Caenorhabditis elegans: one gene and its partners. The protein of the gene in region 3 interacts with the protein of the main gene of each other region in a pairwise test. Each region holds a gene or a part of one and is shown on either strand. Other genes may lie near its edges.

What was found. Proteins that work in one complex are often made in the same cells at the same time.
Region 1: the proteins of gpch-1 (region 3) and wdr-83 interact in a two-hybrid assay, tested with the Caenorhabditis elegans proteins (one large-scale study listed by BioGRID).
Region 2: the proteins of gpch-1 (region 3) and rei-1 interact in a two-hybrid assay, tested with the Caenorhabditis elegans proteins (one large-scale study listed by BioGRID).

Annotation. Positions count from the first base shown.
Region 1 is NC_003280.10:5,029,437-5,033,686, forward strand, and holds wdr-83 (WD repeat domain-containing protein 83), read right to left. Parts: upstream 2,277-4,250; 5' UTR 2,273-2,276; coding exon 2,197-2,272; exon of another isoform or gene 2,151-2,196; coding exon 1,926-2,150; intron 1,330-1,925; coding exon 1,106-1,329; intron 1,053-1,105; coding exon 922-1,052; intron 866-921; coding exon 761-865; intron 719-760; coding exon 562-718; 3' UTR 508-561; downstream 1-507. Other genes in the region: Mitogen-activated protein kinase kinase kinase nsy-1, read left to right, coding at 1-156; F33G12.3 (DUF1308 domain-containing protein), read right to left, coding at 2,556-2,633, 2,680-2,760, 2,805-2,998, 3,045-3,241, 3,451-3,779, 4,218-4,250.
Region 2 is NC_003281.10:4,096,389-4,099,741, forward strand, and holds rei-1 (Guanine nucleotide exchange factor rei-1), read right to left. Parts: upstream 1,803-3,353; 5' UTR 1,741-1,802; coding exon 1,622-1,740; intron 1,464-1,621; coding exon 1,080-1,463; intron 1,028-1,079; coding exon 928-1,027; intron 872-927; coding exon 740-871; 3' UTR 515-739; downstream 1-514. Other genes in the region: C03C10.7 (uncharacterized protein), read left to right, coding at 49-158, 358-514. UniProt on the Caenorhabditis elegans protein: Guanine nucleotide exchange factor for Rab GTPase Rab-11.1. Spatially and temporally regulates the distribution of Rab-11.1 to target membranes during embryogenesis. Plays a role in cytokinesis, probably by targeting rab-11.1 to the cleavage furrows.
Region 3 is NC_003281.10:4,406,892-4,412,735, reverse strand, and holds gpch-1 (G patch domain-containing protein 1 homolog), read right to left. Parts: upstream 4,186-5,844; 5' UTR 4,172-4,185; coding exon 4,114-4,171; intron 4,070-4,113; coding exon 3,602-4,069; intron 3,001-3,601; coding exon 2,469-3,000; intron 2,254-2,468; coding exon 1,726-2,253; intron 1,475-1,725; coding exon 622-1,474; 3' UTR 529-621; downstream 1-528. Other genes in the region: putative peroxiredoxin prdx-3, read right to left, coding at 4,388-4,477, 4,656-5,087, 5,134-5,292; RNA-binding protein rnp-4, read right to left, coding at 5,633-5,740.

The DNA of each region.
Region 1 (4,250 bases), on a different chromosome or scaffold from region 3:
ATGCGTGCAATTGGTGAAGTTCGTGAACGTCAACGCCGTCAGCCAGTCTTCCTGTCTCCAATGCGAAGTCGAGATGATTCTTTGGATGATTATCATTCAAGCAGTGCCGATGATATGTACACTGGCGCTGCTGCTGAAACTTCATCTGGAAACTGATTTTCTGTAGTTTCTCTGTTCTCTCTCTCTCTCTCTCTCTGGTCATTTTTCTCTCTTCTAGTTTTTCTGTCTCTTTCTCTCATTTTATTGTGATATCTTTTCTCTCTCTCTCTCTCTCTCTCTCTCTCTAATCCTCTGTTTCGTGTACAAAGTTTTCAGTTTCTTAATTTGTTCTCTGAAAATCATCAAACCCCTCCAAAATTTGCTTGCGTGTAGAACTTTTCATTACAAACAAAAACCAAATTGCTAGTGTCTTTCCTATCCAACTACATTATAGAGATTTCTAATCTCATGTCAATTGTTTCATGTATCATTCTACAAAACTCACACACATCCGAATCATCATAACTATCATAATAATAAGTTTTATTAACCAAAAATAAATAAATATATATTTCATGATCGTTATTCTCCGAGCACTTCCGCATCATCTTCGGCAACCCATAAGTAAATCATTTGTCCTGCTGCAGTCATGAGTCGTTCTTTTTTCGGATGAGCCGTCAGAGAATGAATCACTTTTGAAGGATGTTCGAGTTTCGACACGATGTGTGAATCGAGGAGACTGTAATTTATTCTTTCTTTTGAAACTAATATTGTTACCTACCTATACACATAAACGAATCCGTCTTCTGAGCCACTTGCCACGTGCTCGATGGATTGTAAAACTCGGCAGTCTAATTTGTATTCCGTGTTTTGATGACCTTTATAGCTGAAAATTTATAAATTTATAGCTCCAATTTTCATACAATATTCAAAAATATGTACCTTGCTAGCAATTTTCCACTAGATTTATCAATAAGCCGAACAATTCCACCCATTACTCCAGCCAACAGGCAATTACTGTCTGGGGTAAAGCTGACACTGTTTACTGAATCTCCCATGTAGTCGACTGTCATCTGAAAATTAGAAATTTCTAATAACTTGAAAATTCTTTTTTTTTTTCAATTACATTTCCATCTCTAATACTATAGACTCTGTAATTTCCATCAGCACTTCCAGCAACAATCTCATGGCCATTAACATCAATTGAGAGAATTCCATCAGTTGATTCATTGAATATTTGAATAGGTTTTTCACTTCGAGATCTGCAGTCAAATGCCTGCATTGTACAGTCCATTGAGCCGGAGAATACCACAGATGATTCTTCGTTAAATGCCACTGCATTCACTTGTGCTGAAAATATTGCAGGTGAGATATTACGTGCAGTTTATTTTTGGAACATTAAAAAAACGGTAATTTTTGGTTTTTTGAATTTCAAAAAAAATTGAAAAATCAAACATGTTCGTTTTTCGACTTTTCGATTTTCCAGCATTTTGAAAAAAAAACTTCAGATTTTTCGTAAAAAATATCATAAAAATGCTGGAAATTTTTTTTTCTAGCGGAAAATTATATGTTTTTCTCATTTTTTTAATCAACATAAACGAAATTATTTTAATTGTTTGGGCAAAAAATACGGTACCCGGTCTCGACACGACACGTTTTTGTAAAATGCAAACGGATATGCGCCTTTGAAGATTACTGTAGTTTTTTAGTACTTTTCTAGTTTTTTCACATACTTTTTCACGATTTTTTCAAATTTCATATGTTTCTGGTTTATTTTAGTTTTTGAATTAAAAAAAACCTTTTTAAAAAACAATGAAAAATCGATTTTAAAAATTGCGCAACAAAAATTTTTGAAACTACAGTAATCTTGAAAGGCGCCTCGAGACCTGGGATCGTATTTTAGCGCAAAAATCACAAGATATCGCGTCAGGGTAATACTTAACTACCTCCATGTGTTCTCCACCGTCTCAATTGTTTTCCAGTTTCTACATCAAATACTGTACAGGCTCTATCGGCTCCACCAGCAGCTATCTGTGAATTGTCTGATGATGAAGCGGCGTCAAGAACCTCATTTCCAGTTCCAGAATATGTTTTAAGAAGACTGCTCTTCAATGGATTCCATAATTTGACAGTTTTGTCACTTCCACATGTTACACAGTAATTTCCATCGACTGAAAATGGACTTTATTGAATTAAAATATATTGTTTCAAATTTACCATTATATCGAACCGCACGTACTGCACCTTGCTTACAATCAATTGCTCTTGCACGAACCGTTGGGCATTTTGACATTTTACTGGATAAATACAACTTTTAATAATTTCAGAAAAACAAATTGAGACTTGTAAGATATGAATGGCTTCTGCTAAACCAGAAAATAGATCCAAAAGAATTATAAAAAAGGAGAGTAATTCATCAATTTCATCGGGACACTTTCAATACAGTATAATACTCGAACCGAGGTCAAAATAATAAAGATCATCACAATTGAAATGTTGAAGGCAACTTATACTTGTTCCTAAATAATACAAACATAATTCAAAACAAGAACTAGATAATTTAAAATATATGTTCTTCAGATAACTTTGGCAGTAGCTTCTTTCTGTTCGGTAAGAGGACGTGGTGGAATTTCGATGACATCGAAGTATATGTGCTGAAATTATATATAATTAGTTGATACCTAGCTAACTAGCAAATACCTTAGCCCTAGAATGTGTCAAAAACTTTTGATTGGCAGTTACAGTAGTCGTTTTGGTAACTTCCGCGCATGAGAAGACTCTCTGAAAATATATGAATTAAATATTGAATAAAGTTTTTTCAAAACCTTTGTAATTGACGTTATTCCTTTGATATTTCGTAATTTGACAACTCTTCCAATTTCATCTGATGGTTGATCCTGAACACGCTCAATCGTCTTGCTTAGCTCTTCGAATCGCTTCTTCTCCGTAGGCCCGCCGACATTTTTTACGATTTCTGCTACTCTTCTATAGGCAAGCTCACACATAATCAGATGATGTCCTGAACATTGATAATATTATTTTTGACAAAAATTGCAATCCAAAACCTTTCAATTTTTCCAGCACTTCAGCCTTCGCAGGTTTCAATCGTTCACATTCCACATGCTTATTGATCATTTCCTCTTTGAATTGATAATTCACACCACCAGGTTCACACATGTTCGAAACTAACAACATCACAGCCGAAATATCAAGATTTAAGCGTGGCAGTGTTGACTCTGACTGCGATTGTGAGGAGGGTAGCCTGCAATAGAGTTATTGTAGTACGGGAAAAGAGAGAGAGAGAGATGGGGAGACGCAAGAACGTGTTTGCCTTTCAACGGGACAGAAAACATGGCCGCCATAGCTCAGTCGGTTAGAGCGTGGGTCTAATAAGCCCAAGGTCGCAGGTTCGACCCCTGCTGGCGGCAAAATGTTTTGCTTCTTATTTCATCAAAACCTATTTAAACTTACGTTGGAATAGAAGCAGCATCTTCATCAACTTCATCCCAGTCAGAATCTTCCTCTTCTCCAAGCCGTTCAATTAATTCTTCGTTCCATTTTCCACGTAAACTAGGATCTGATTTATCGACGTGCTCTCCAATAACAACAATTCCATGACGAATGAGTTTTTGGGCCATCTCTGCTAGAACTCCATTTCTGAAGTAAATTCGTATTTGTGGTCGATTGAAACGGCGTGATACGAAAAGATGTTGCTTTATTTGTGCAATAACGTCGCCATTTCGTTTTCCGTCTCGATATTCGATGAGAACGGTTTTGGCGGGGCGATTCACAAGTTTTATCTGAAAGAAAAATTAAAATTTTATTTGAAAATATATGAAAAGAGTTTAATAATAACCCAAATGCGGATTTCTTTGCGATTTTTGTTCAAAAAATACGGTGTCTGGTCTCGACGCGATAAATATTTGAGAAATGCTAAAGCGTATGCGCCTTTAAAAGAGTACTGTAATTTCAAACTTTTCAGTTTCTCGTAAAAAATATTGTTTTTAATTCAGGAACTGAAACAAAACAATTAAAATACACAATTTTAATACAAATTGTGAGAAAAACTATTACAAATCGATAAAAATTTCACAGTGACGAAAATTCGTTTTATTAAAAATTACAGTACTCTTTGAAAGCGCACACCTGTTTGTTTTATACGAAAAACTGTCGTGTCGAGACCGGGCACCAAATTTTAGGTGAAAAATGGCAAAAACTCGGATTTGTATAATACTAACCCAAACATTCGGTTCTTTCATCACAATATCTAC
Region 2 (3,353 bases), 310 kb from region 3:
TAATCTCTTCAATTAAGTGAAACAATAATATGACACAAATATTTTTAGAGCATTCCAAAGCTTGGCCGGCGTGTGAACAATTTTCAGTATTTTAAATGGGATTCTGATGAAGAAATTCCAATTATTCCAGAAGAAAGAAGACCCGCTTCGGTTAGCAGGTGAGAAATTGAATTGTTAAATAAAAGAAAAATCATGAAAATTTTGAAATTGACAATTTTGTGCATTCTACCGTCGCGGTGTATGCGTACTTGACACTATATATGACGCGCAAGTTGCAAGTCAACGAAATTTCGATTTTTTTTAACGTCTCAAAATTTCAAAAAATTACAATTTTTCAACAATCTATTTCACCCTCAGATTGCCACCAGCGACAAGGGCATCCACTCTTTGTGAGCTATGCACATTGGCTTCACGATTGCTTGATAAATCCAGTGCTCCGACAAGAAGTGCAGCGTGTGCACACGTAGATGCTTTTGTGGGCACTTCATCGTCTTCTCATTATCACAATTTTTAATGTTTCAAGAAAATTGTTATTAAGCACCAGACGAACACAAAATAAAGAGATACATAGAGAAAATGAGGAGCAAAGAGAAAGGGGATTGAAACCCGTAAAAATACATTTTTGGTGAAGTTGATTGGGTGTGGAACGTGAGTACAAGTGAGATCGAGATTTCGAAACTTCGTGAAAAATCTAATATTACACGTGGAAAATTGAGAAGAAAGGGTGTGGCTCAGAGTATCAAGAGCTGTCGGATTCTGCATCACTCGAAGGAGCCAAACTGCTTTGCGAGGAACGCTCCTGATGAATTTGATCGCTGATCTGCTCTAAAGCTCGCATCGAATCACTGTAGCTGTCTTTTCGTTCTTGTACCTGGAAATTAAAAATTATTTTAATCTATATACAGTTTTATTCTTATTAGTTCTTACTTCATGCTCCAAAATTGACATTAACTCAAGTTGAGAATTCATTGTTCGCGTCAGAACTTCTTTTCGTTCGTAATAGGGCCGGGATTTTTTGATGGCAGATCTGAAATTCGGAAAATATATTGTCAGAAAATTGCCTGATGCCTGAAACTCACCCATTTTCCTCTAAACATTTCCTTAAAGCCATTTCCAACTGTAACAAATCCCTGACACGTGATGCATGACACTTTTCAGCTTTTAAACATTCTCCCTCAGCTTCTTTAACCAATTCCAACTGTTGCTCAATCACATCAACATATTGTTTCTCTGCATCCAATTCTTGATTGTTATTCAATGAATTATGCAGTATTTGCACTTGTTCTCTTGCCATTTCAACTGAAGTTTTTTGTCGTTCAAATTGAGCTGCCGCTTGTTGAACACATCTTCTGATTTCCGATTCGCGGCTTTTCAAATCGAAAAATTGACGGGATTTTGATATGTGTTTGGCCAACTTTTTAGGGATTCCAAGCATTTCTTTGTTGAACATTAGTTGGGTTTCACTGAAAATATATAAGATTATTTTAGCATCAAAACCAGATTTGGTACGATTTTTTGCGAATTAATTGGTTAAGAATGACTAGTGCAATAAAAGGTTTCCAGTTTTAGACGTGTAGCGATTAAGCAATTATTTTAAAATAAAAAATGAATTAAAACTCACCAAAACTGTTTCTTGACAGTTTCCAACTTCATCTCATAACTGTTGATGTCATCTGTTGCATTATTTAAATTTTCAAGTTGTTTGCGAATCGATATTAATTGATCGTCCCCTTCCGTCATTTTTAATGTTTTATTGATTCTGAAATCGAATTGTTCGAACGAAAATTACTAGAAATGAAGAGAATATGAGGAGAAAAGATGAGAAAATAAATTTTTTAAAATTAAATTTGCAAATTTTAACGTGAGGCAAAACTGTGCATTTTTACGTGATGGTGTTTGCAGATCGTAATTTGAAATTAATGGCGGGAGTTTTTCAGAAATTATCAATTCGACTTACAAAAATGGCTAAAATGAATGAAATTTGGACAATTTTCTCAATTTTAGTTGTTCAGGGTTAATAGCAAAAATCAGCTGCAAAAATGGCCCTCGACATGACATTTTTGTTGAAAACAAATGGGTGTGCGCCTTTAAAGAGTACTGTAATTTCAGTATTCATTGATTTTTCATAGTTTTTGGTTGAAAATAAATTTACTTATTAAATAATATTACTTTATTAATAATTAAGATAATAAAATTCAAAATTATTCGATTTAATAAATTGTGAGATCAACTATGAAAAATCAATTAAAATCTGATCAGAGAGCAACGAAAGCTTTAAATTACAGTATCCTTTAAAGGCGCACCCCCGTTTGTAAATCTCAGAAATTGCCTTTTCGCGGCCAGGTACCGTATTTTCAGGGCAAAAATCTCAAAATTTTGCGTCTGGGTAATATTCGAACCTCATAATTTTTTGAGAATTTCGAACTTGAAACCATTCTAGAACAAAGAAAACGAGGAAACGGAGAGTAGAACTATTTCAGATACGGTTTTCATCGGTTTTTTGGGTTTGAAGGCCGTGCAAACGACAAGCGGGGGTAGGAAAAGTGTGGGGGACGACGGAGAAGAGAGAAACAGAGACGGACGGTCGGGATGGACAGTGTGAATAGATTGTGGAGGGCAAATGGGCCAATTATACCGAAGGGGAAATATATTGAGGGGCACACAATTGTGGACTGTTATATGAGCAAAATTGGTGGAAGGTGGGGGAAGAGTTGAGTCGCCTCAGTCCTCAAGAAGTACTTTTTTGAAACATATTTTTTTAAAATTTTTTTGGGGCGATACCCCTCAACTGCAAAATTCCGATTAATTGCAACATTTCTATTTTTAAAATAAGAGAATGTCTATTGGGAAGTGGAGCAATCCACGACTGGATTATCGGCCACAGTCCCCGGCTAGGACGTGGCTTAAAATTACAGCCCAGAGGATCACCACCAGGCAGTGTACCTGAATCCCAGATCCGCAGTGCATAGCACTTGAAGAACCGATCGTCCTTTAATCCTTTAATCCTTTAATCTAAAAATAATTTTTCTTCAGTCTGACAAAAAACATTTTTAGAAAATTTTCAGGTTTTGTCAAATGATAAAACGATTTCGCTGATAGTTTTCAATTCATCTAATAATTGAATCGAAAATCGGAAAAACGCGCAAATTTCAAAGCAAAATGATGCTTCCGGGTCTCGACGCGAGTGAAACTTTTCAGCTACAGTACCCATGAGTACGGTAGATGATGATTTTCTTGAAATTTCGTTTTTTCCAAGCATATTTGACGGGATTTCGATAAAAAATATAATTTTTACATCAAGAATATCAAAAGAATTGAAAATTACAACAAAAAATAAAGGGTACGGTAGCGGA
Region 3 (5,844 bases):
TAGCCAATAAACTTGATTTTTAACCATTTTCGCTAATTGTTTTATGTATAAAACATTAATTTACCAATTTATCCCACATTTATAGTATTTCATGTAAAAAACCAATGCGTTTACTGCTGAAAACTACAAAAAAACTAGAAATTGTAGTTTTTCAGCATTAAAATTTGTTGGGTTTTTTTTCTAATTAATTTTTCTAATTTTTCAAATTAAAAAAGGTTTTTCAAATGCAATTCAAAAAATGTTTCTAAAGGTGCCGGTTAATATTTGCAGACTGAAAAAATGGAAAACAAATTGTACTAATTTTTAACAGAGAAAGCATCTGAAAAACTAAAATCTTTGAAAAATTGAAATTGAAAACTCATTTCTGCTCGAAAAATGTGACCTCAGTGCACGAGTTCGCAGGAACCAAACCTCACAATCCTTGAGAGAATAGAAAGCGAGAGAAATAGAGAACGAGAGATGCAGACAATTTAACTGGGGACAAATAGCCACACGGGAGGAGAAGGATAGTTCAGACATCACTTTGAGAAATTTTATGTTTCATTTTTACAAGTCGAAACCATAGTAATATATGATAATAAATAAATAAATAAAAAAAATTAACAAAATGTTTAATTCAGATTATTTCTTCTCCTCCCATCCATCGGAATTATCACCGGAATCGTCGGCACTAGACGAAGAATGTTTCCTCTTTGTCTTCTTTTCTTTCTTGCTCTTTTTTGATTTTTTCGATTTCTTCTTCTTTTCCTTCTCCTTCTTATCCTTTTTCTTTTTCTTCATATTCTTTTCTAAAAGTTTCAGTACTTCCGTTTTTGAAAGAACTGGTTTTGAAGATGGAGGAAGAGCTGGACCAAATGAAGATGCAGAAGTTTCATCAATAATCTGAATATCATCATCTTCCTGTTGCTTTGAAACTCTCAGCAAATCCCTATTTTCTAATTCTTTTAATTCTTTTTCCACTCGTTTTCTGTTCTCCTCCTCTTTCTTCTCAACTATTTCCCTTCTTCTTTTCAAATCCTCTTCTCTTTTTTTCAGAATCTCTTGCCGTTCCTTCTCTTCAGCTTCTTCATCTTCACTATTACTCTCATCTGAGTCTGCACCGTCTCCATCTCCAAAAATGAAATCAAAAAACGATTTTGGAGCTTTGTCTACCTTCTGATTGTTAGGCTCGGCTTCATTTTCCTCTTCTTCATCAGAATCCTTATCATCATATTCTTTCTCATCGTCATCATCTGATTGATTTCTTTTTTTCTCTTCTGCTCCTCTCTGAGCTCTCGATTTCAGAAGTCGCTCCCTCATTTCAATTTCATTTGCAGTGTTCGGAAGTCCCAACGTTGCCGAGACTCCACCAATATCTGCTAATCGATCTTTCCGCTTCCAATCAGTCTTCTGAAGAGCTGGAACTCCGACAGTGTCTGATCCAGGATATGGATGGGGAACATTGAATCGTTTAGCGAGAAGATTGTCAGGATACCTGAAAATTTAAAAATTTCTACATTTTTCAAAGGGACTAAATGGCTAAAACTAGCCCTAAACAAAAAAATTTCATAATAAGAATTCTCAGAAAATTTCTAAAAAAAGAGCCAAATATTGTAAAATCCGAATATTCGTCATCTTGATCTTGTTGCAGCACATACATTTTTTTGCCTTTTTTCGAAATTGTTTTTTGAGAAATCTCATTATGAAATTCGGTCGTTTTAGATGATTCTCAATTTAGAAACATACCAATCAAAGCTTTGCCTCGTTTTTTCTCCAAACATTTCCATTTTCACAGCGGCTAATTTATCCTCATCCTTCGTTCCAACTTTCAAATCACCGCCAGCTTCTTTCACAAATTTCGAAGCCATCATTTCATGAATCGGCGCTGCTATGGCAGTTTTTGCAAGTGGCTGAGCCCTGGATTGTACTTCTGGAAGCATTCCCCGTTCGTCAGATGTCAATTTTGACTCGAATTCTTTCTTTTCCCACTCCCACTCCCAGACAGTCAGATCAGTGGGCTGAGGGTACGGTAGACCACGTCGAATATAATGAAGAAACTCTTTAAATCGAGCTTGTCGCATAGGCTCATCAGGGAATTCAATTCGATTCCGTTGTCGTCGATCCCGATCTTCTTCTGCTTCACCACCACCACGCTCATTATCACGTTTTTCGACTTCATTTGCCTTGATATCCCATCGACTTCTTCGTTCTGTCGGTTTTTTGGAACTTTTGCCTCCAATTTCAAGTGCATTCACGCGATCTTCACCAAGGAATCTGAAATAAATAAAGTTCAACAAAAATATTCTAAAATTGACCGAAATTTAATGATGAGAATGGCCAAAAAAATGTTCCAAATAATTTTCAGGTCAAAATTCTCGGAAAAAGCTGAATCGATTTACGTTTTAAAAACCCGTAAACTCAAACTTTAGCAAATTTCGGAAAACAAAAAAAAGCGAAAAAATATGAATTATTGTTAATTTAAATCATACTTTGCTCTTTGCTCCGCATTCATATGTTTTACATCATTCTTCATCATTTGTGGAAGTTTCGAGATATCCATTGGAATCGGACGATGATCGCCTCGAAAATTCGGCGGAACTCTTGGAGGAGCATAGAATTTTCTTGGATTAAGCCTCTTTGGCTGTAATTCAAATGCAGTAACCAATTTCTGTGTTTTCAAATTACTCTCTTCTGATGCTCCAGCTACATCCAATGAAAAATCAAATTGCGAGAGATCATAATTCGAATAAACACTTTCATCTTCTTCTTCAAATGCTCCAACTCCGAATGCTTGTCCTTTTATTCCTTTGCTATTTTTCTTTCCGGATTTCAAAGCCAAAGTTGTTCTACCGTATGACTCATTAAGTACAGTAGTCTTACGAAGACCTTGATATCCTATTCCATGAGTTCCAGTTAATGGGGTCAGTTGTTTGACAAGAGCATCTTCATTCGAAAATTCGTACGCTGGAGCCACCTTTGAAGCTTGCTCGCGGTCGAATTGGGCTTCCGACGACTCGCCGCCTGGAAAAATTAATTTTTTTTGAAGGAATTGATTATTTGGTTAAAGGAGGATTAATCGATAAAAATCTTGGTTTCTTGGACTCAAAATGGCCCAAAAAGACCGAATTTTAGCACGAGAATCTTCAAAACTAATTTTTTTTATTGAAAACACAAACCGAATTTTGCCAAAGCGTCTGGGAATCGATATTTATCTAATTTTTTTTTGGGAATTTAGGTACATTTGGACCAGATTTGATCTCTAAATGTTCTTAAATCCACGAAAAAACGCTAGACGAACAACTTTGAAACACAGAAAAAACAACCCAAAAAAATTCCGGCACGGAAAAGTTGACGAAATTTGTTAAATACCGCCATAAAACATTTTTGAAAAGTTTCGGTGAGGACTCCGCTGTAAAAAATTCAAAATCGCCTCAAATCCATCCTGAAAAACCACAAAGAAAACACGAAAAAATTGCCAAAGAACGAAAAATCGCACTCCTACAAACGAGATTTTTCTTCTTTTTTTGCGATGTTTCCCTTTTTCCATTATGGATTTTAAGAATTTCAGACTAATTTAAACTTTTTTTGATAACTCCTCCTTCAATTAGATATGCTCTCGAACCTCTCTTCTGTTTCTGTTTAACATTTGCCAATCCGATGCCTCGTCCTTCTCTCCATCCCATTGATCGGAGCATCCGTACTCCTATCGAATTACTAACAGGCTTCACAACATCCTCAAACATCTGAGTTATCGTTGAAATACTTGTCGTATCCCGTTCCCAAGCCATTTTCCTTTTCTGTCCAGCTCCTTCACCAAATGCCGCAGTCTGTTTTATCGATCGATTCCCTATTCCATATTCTCCAAGATCTTCTGCATCCATAAAATCTTCAGCTCTTTGTTTTATTTGTTCTCCACGTTCATTCCGAGATGATGAGAACACTTGAGGAACCCATCCTTGCTTTGATCCAACTGTATTCCAATAACCAGCTGAAAATCCTCCAGTGAAGGCTCCATGGAATCTCCGTTTTCCTTTTTCATCTGTTGCTATCTCTTCGTGGATTTGAGTTGGCTTTTTTGATACAGAGCTTCCTGAAATTATTTATTTTTTTCCTGAAAACTGTAAAATTGCAGACCTTCTTCGTCATCATCTTCGAATTCCTGACCATATGCTGCTAATTTTTTCCTGTTCATTTATTTAGAAAAATCTGAAATGAAATTCACATTTTTTTCCAAAACTTTTTAGGAAACAAAAATCAATATTTTAATGGATTTTTCTGAAACCGTATATTTTCCAAAATTAATTTCAAAAAACTCGAGCTGAATGACACCTATTTATTTAAACCGACAAACTAAATCATCAATATGATAAATACAAAGAATAAAAATAATTGTTCTGTTTCTGTGTGATCACTTGTTGACCTTGTTGAAGTATTCCTTGCTGGTAGCGACTCCTGGCTTGATGGTTGGAGAATCCTCATGCCAATCAGCTGGGCAAACCTGAAAAATTAATTTTTTATTCGTCGAAATTTGTTTTAATGGACTAAAACTAGCCCGAAACGACCGATTTCCTTTTCAACAAAAATTTAAATATTTTTATGGCGGGCCAAAGTTTCGGAAAAAAAACATTGCATTTTTTTTGCTAGAAATTAAATTTTTTGTAAATTTCAAAATTCACCTCTCCGTGCTTATCAGAGAATTGGAATGCCTTGAGCACTCTCAAAGTCTCATCAACAGATCTTCCAACTGGAAGATCGTTACAAGTAGTGTGACGGACAGTTCCAGATGGATCAATGAGGAAAAGTCCACGGTATGAGAGTCCGGATTCCTTGTCGAGCACACCGAACGAGTCGGCGATCTTCTTGTTGAAATCAGCGAGCAAAGGGATGTCCATATCACCGAGTCCTCCGTCCTTGCGTGGAGTGTTAACCCAGGCCAAGTGAGAGAAGTGAGAATCACACGAGCACGCGACAACTTCAGCTCCAAGAGAACGGAACTCGTTTGCACGATCTCCGTATGCGATGATTTCAGTTGGGCATACAAAGGTGAAGTCAAGTGGATAGAAGAACATGACGAGCCATTTTCCTTTGTAGTCTTGATCAGAAATCACCTGGAATTAATTTTTGAAAAAAATATATATATTTGTTATTTTTAACCTTGAAGTCTCCATCAACGACAGCAGTTCCTTTGAAAGCTGGGACAGTATTTTTTGGTCCAAGTGGACGAAGTGACAAAAGAGCACGAGATGTGCTCAACTGGCGGGTGGCAACAGTAGGAACCGTGCGGCAAAGAGCTCGAACAGCAGAAGAAAACATCTGCAAAACTCAGATATTCAGAAATCTTTTTTTCCAGAATTTGATCTACGAAACAATTGAAGATATCAAATCGTTCCAAACTGGTTAACGATAAAAAGAAAATAGCAACAGCAGATAATTGAAAAATGGTCATTTTATTCACTGTTATTGCATGTGTCACATAGATAACAAAAATCGCAAAATTGAGAAGAGCGAGCGAGTTGAGACCAAATAGATATTTAAAATTTCGAATGGTAAATTGGGAAAGAGGACAAAAAATAAATAGAAAAGGAAAAACTTAACAGTGACGTGTAAAAAAACATAAAACGTGGATTGGAGAGGACAATTAAGTACGTGGTTTTCAGCGCTTTCCAGAAGTCTTCTTTCCCTTGACGAAGCACCAATCGACTTTGACATTCTGGCCGAGAAGATCTGTATCGTTGCTCTGATCAATAGCTTCGTTGGCTTCCTGGAAAATAAATAATTTATATTGATACCAGCCGTGGACCGCACCTCCGGCGCGGCCCCCCACTTCTGGGGCTGAAAACTAATTTTTCTGAAACTACCGTAACC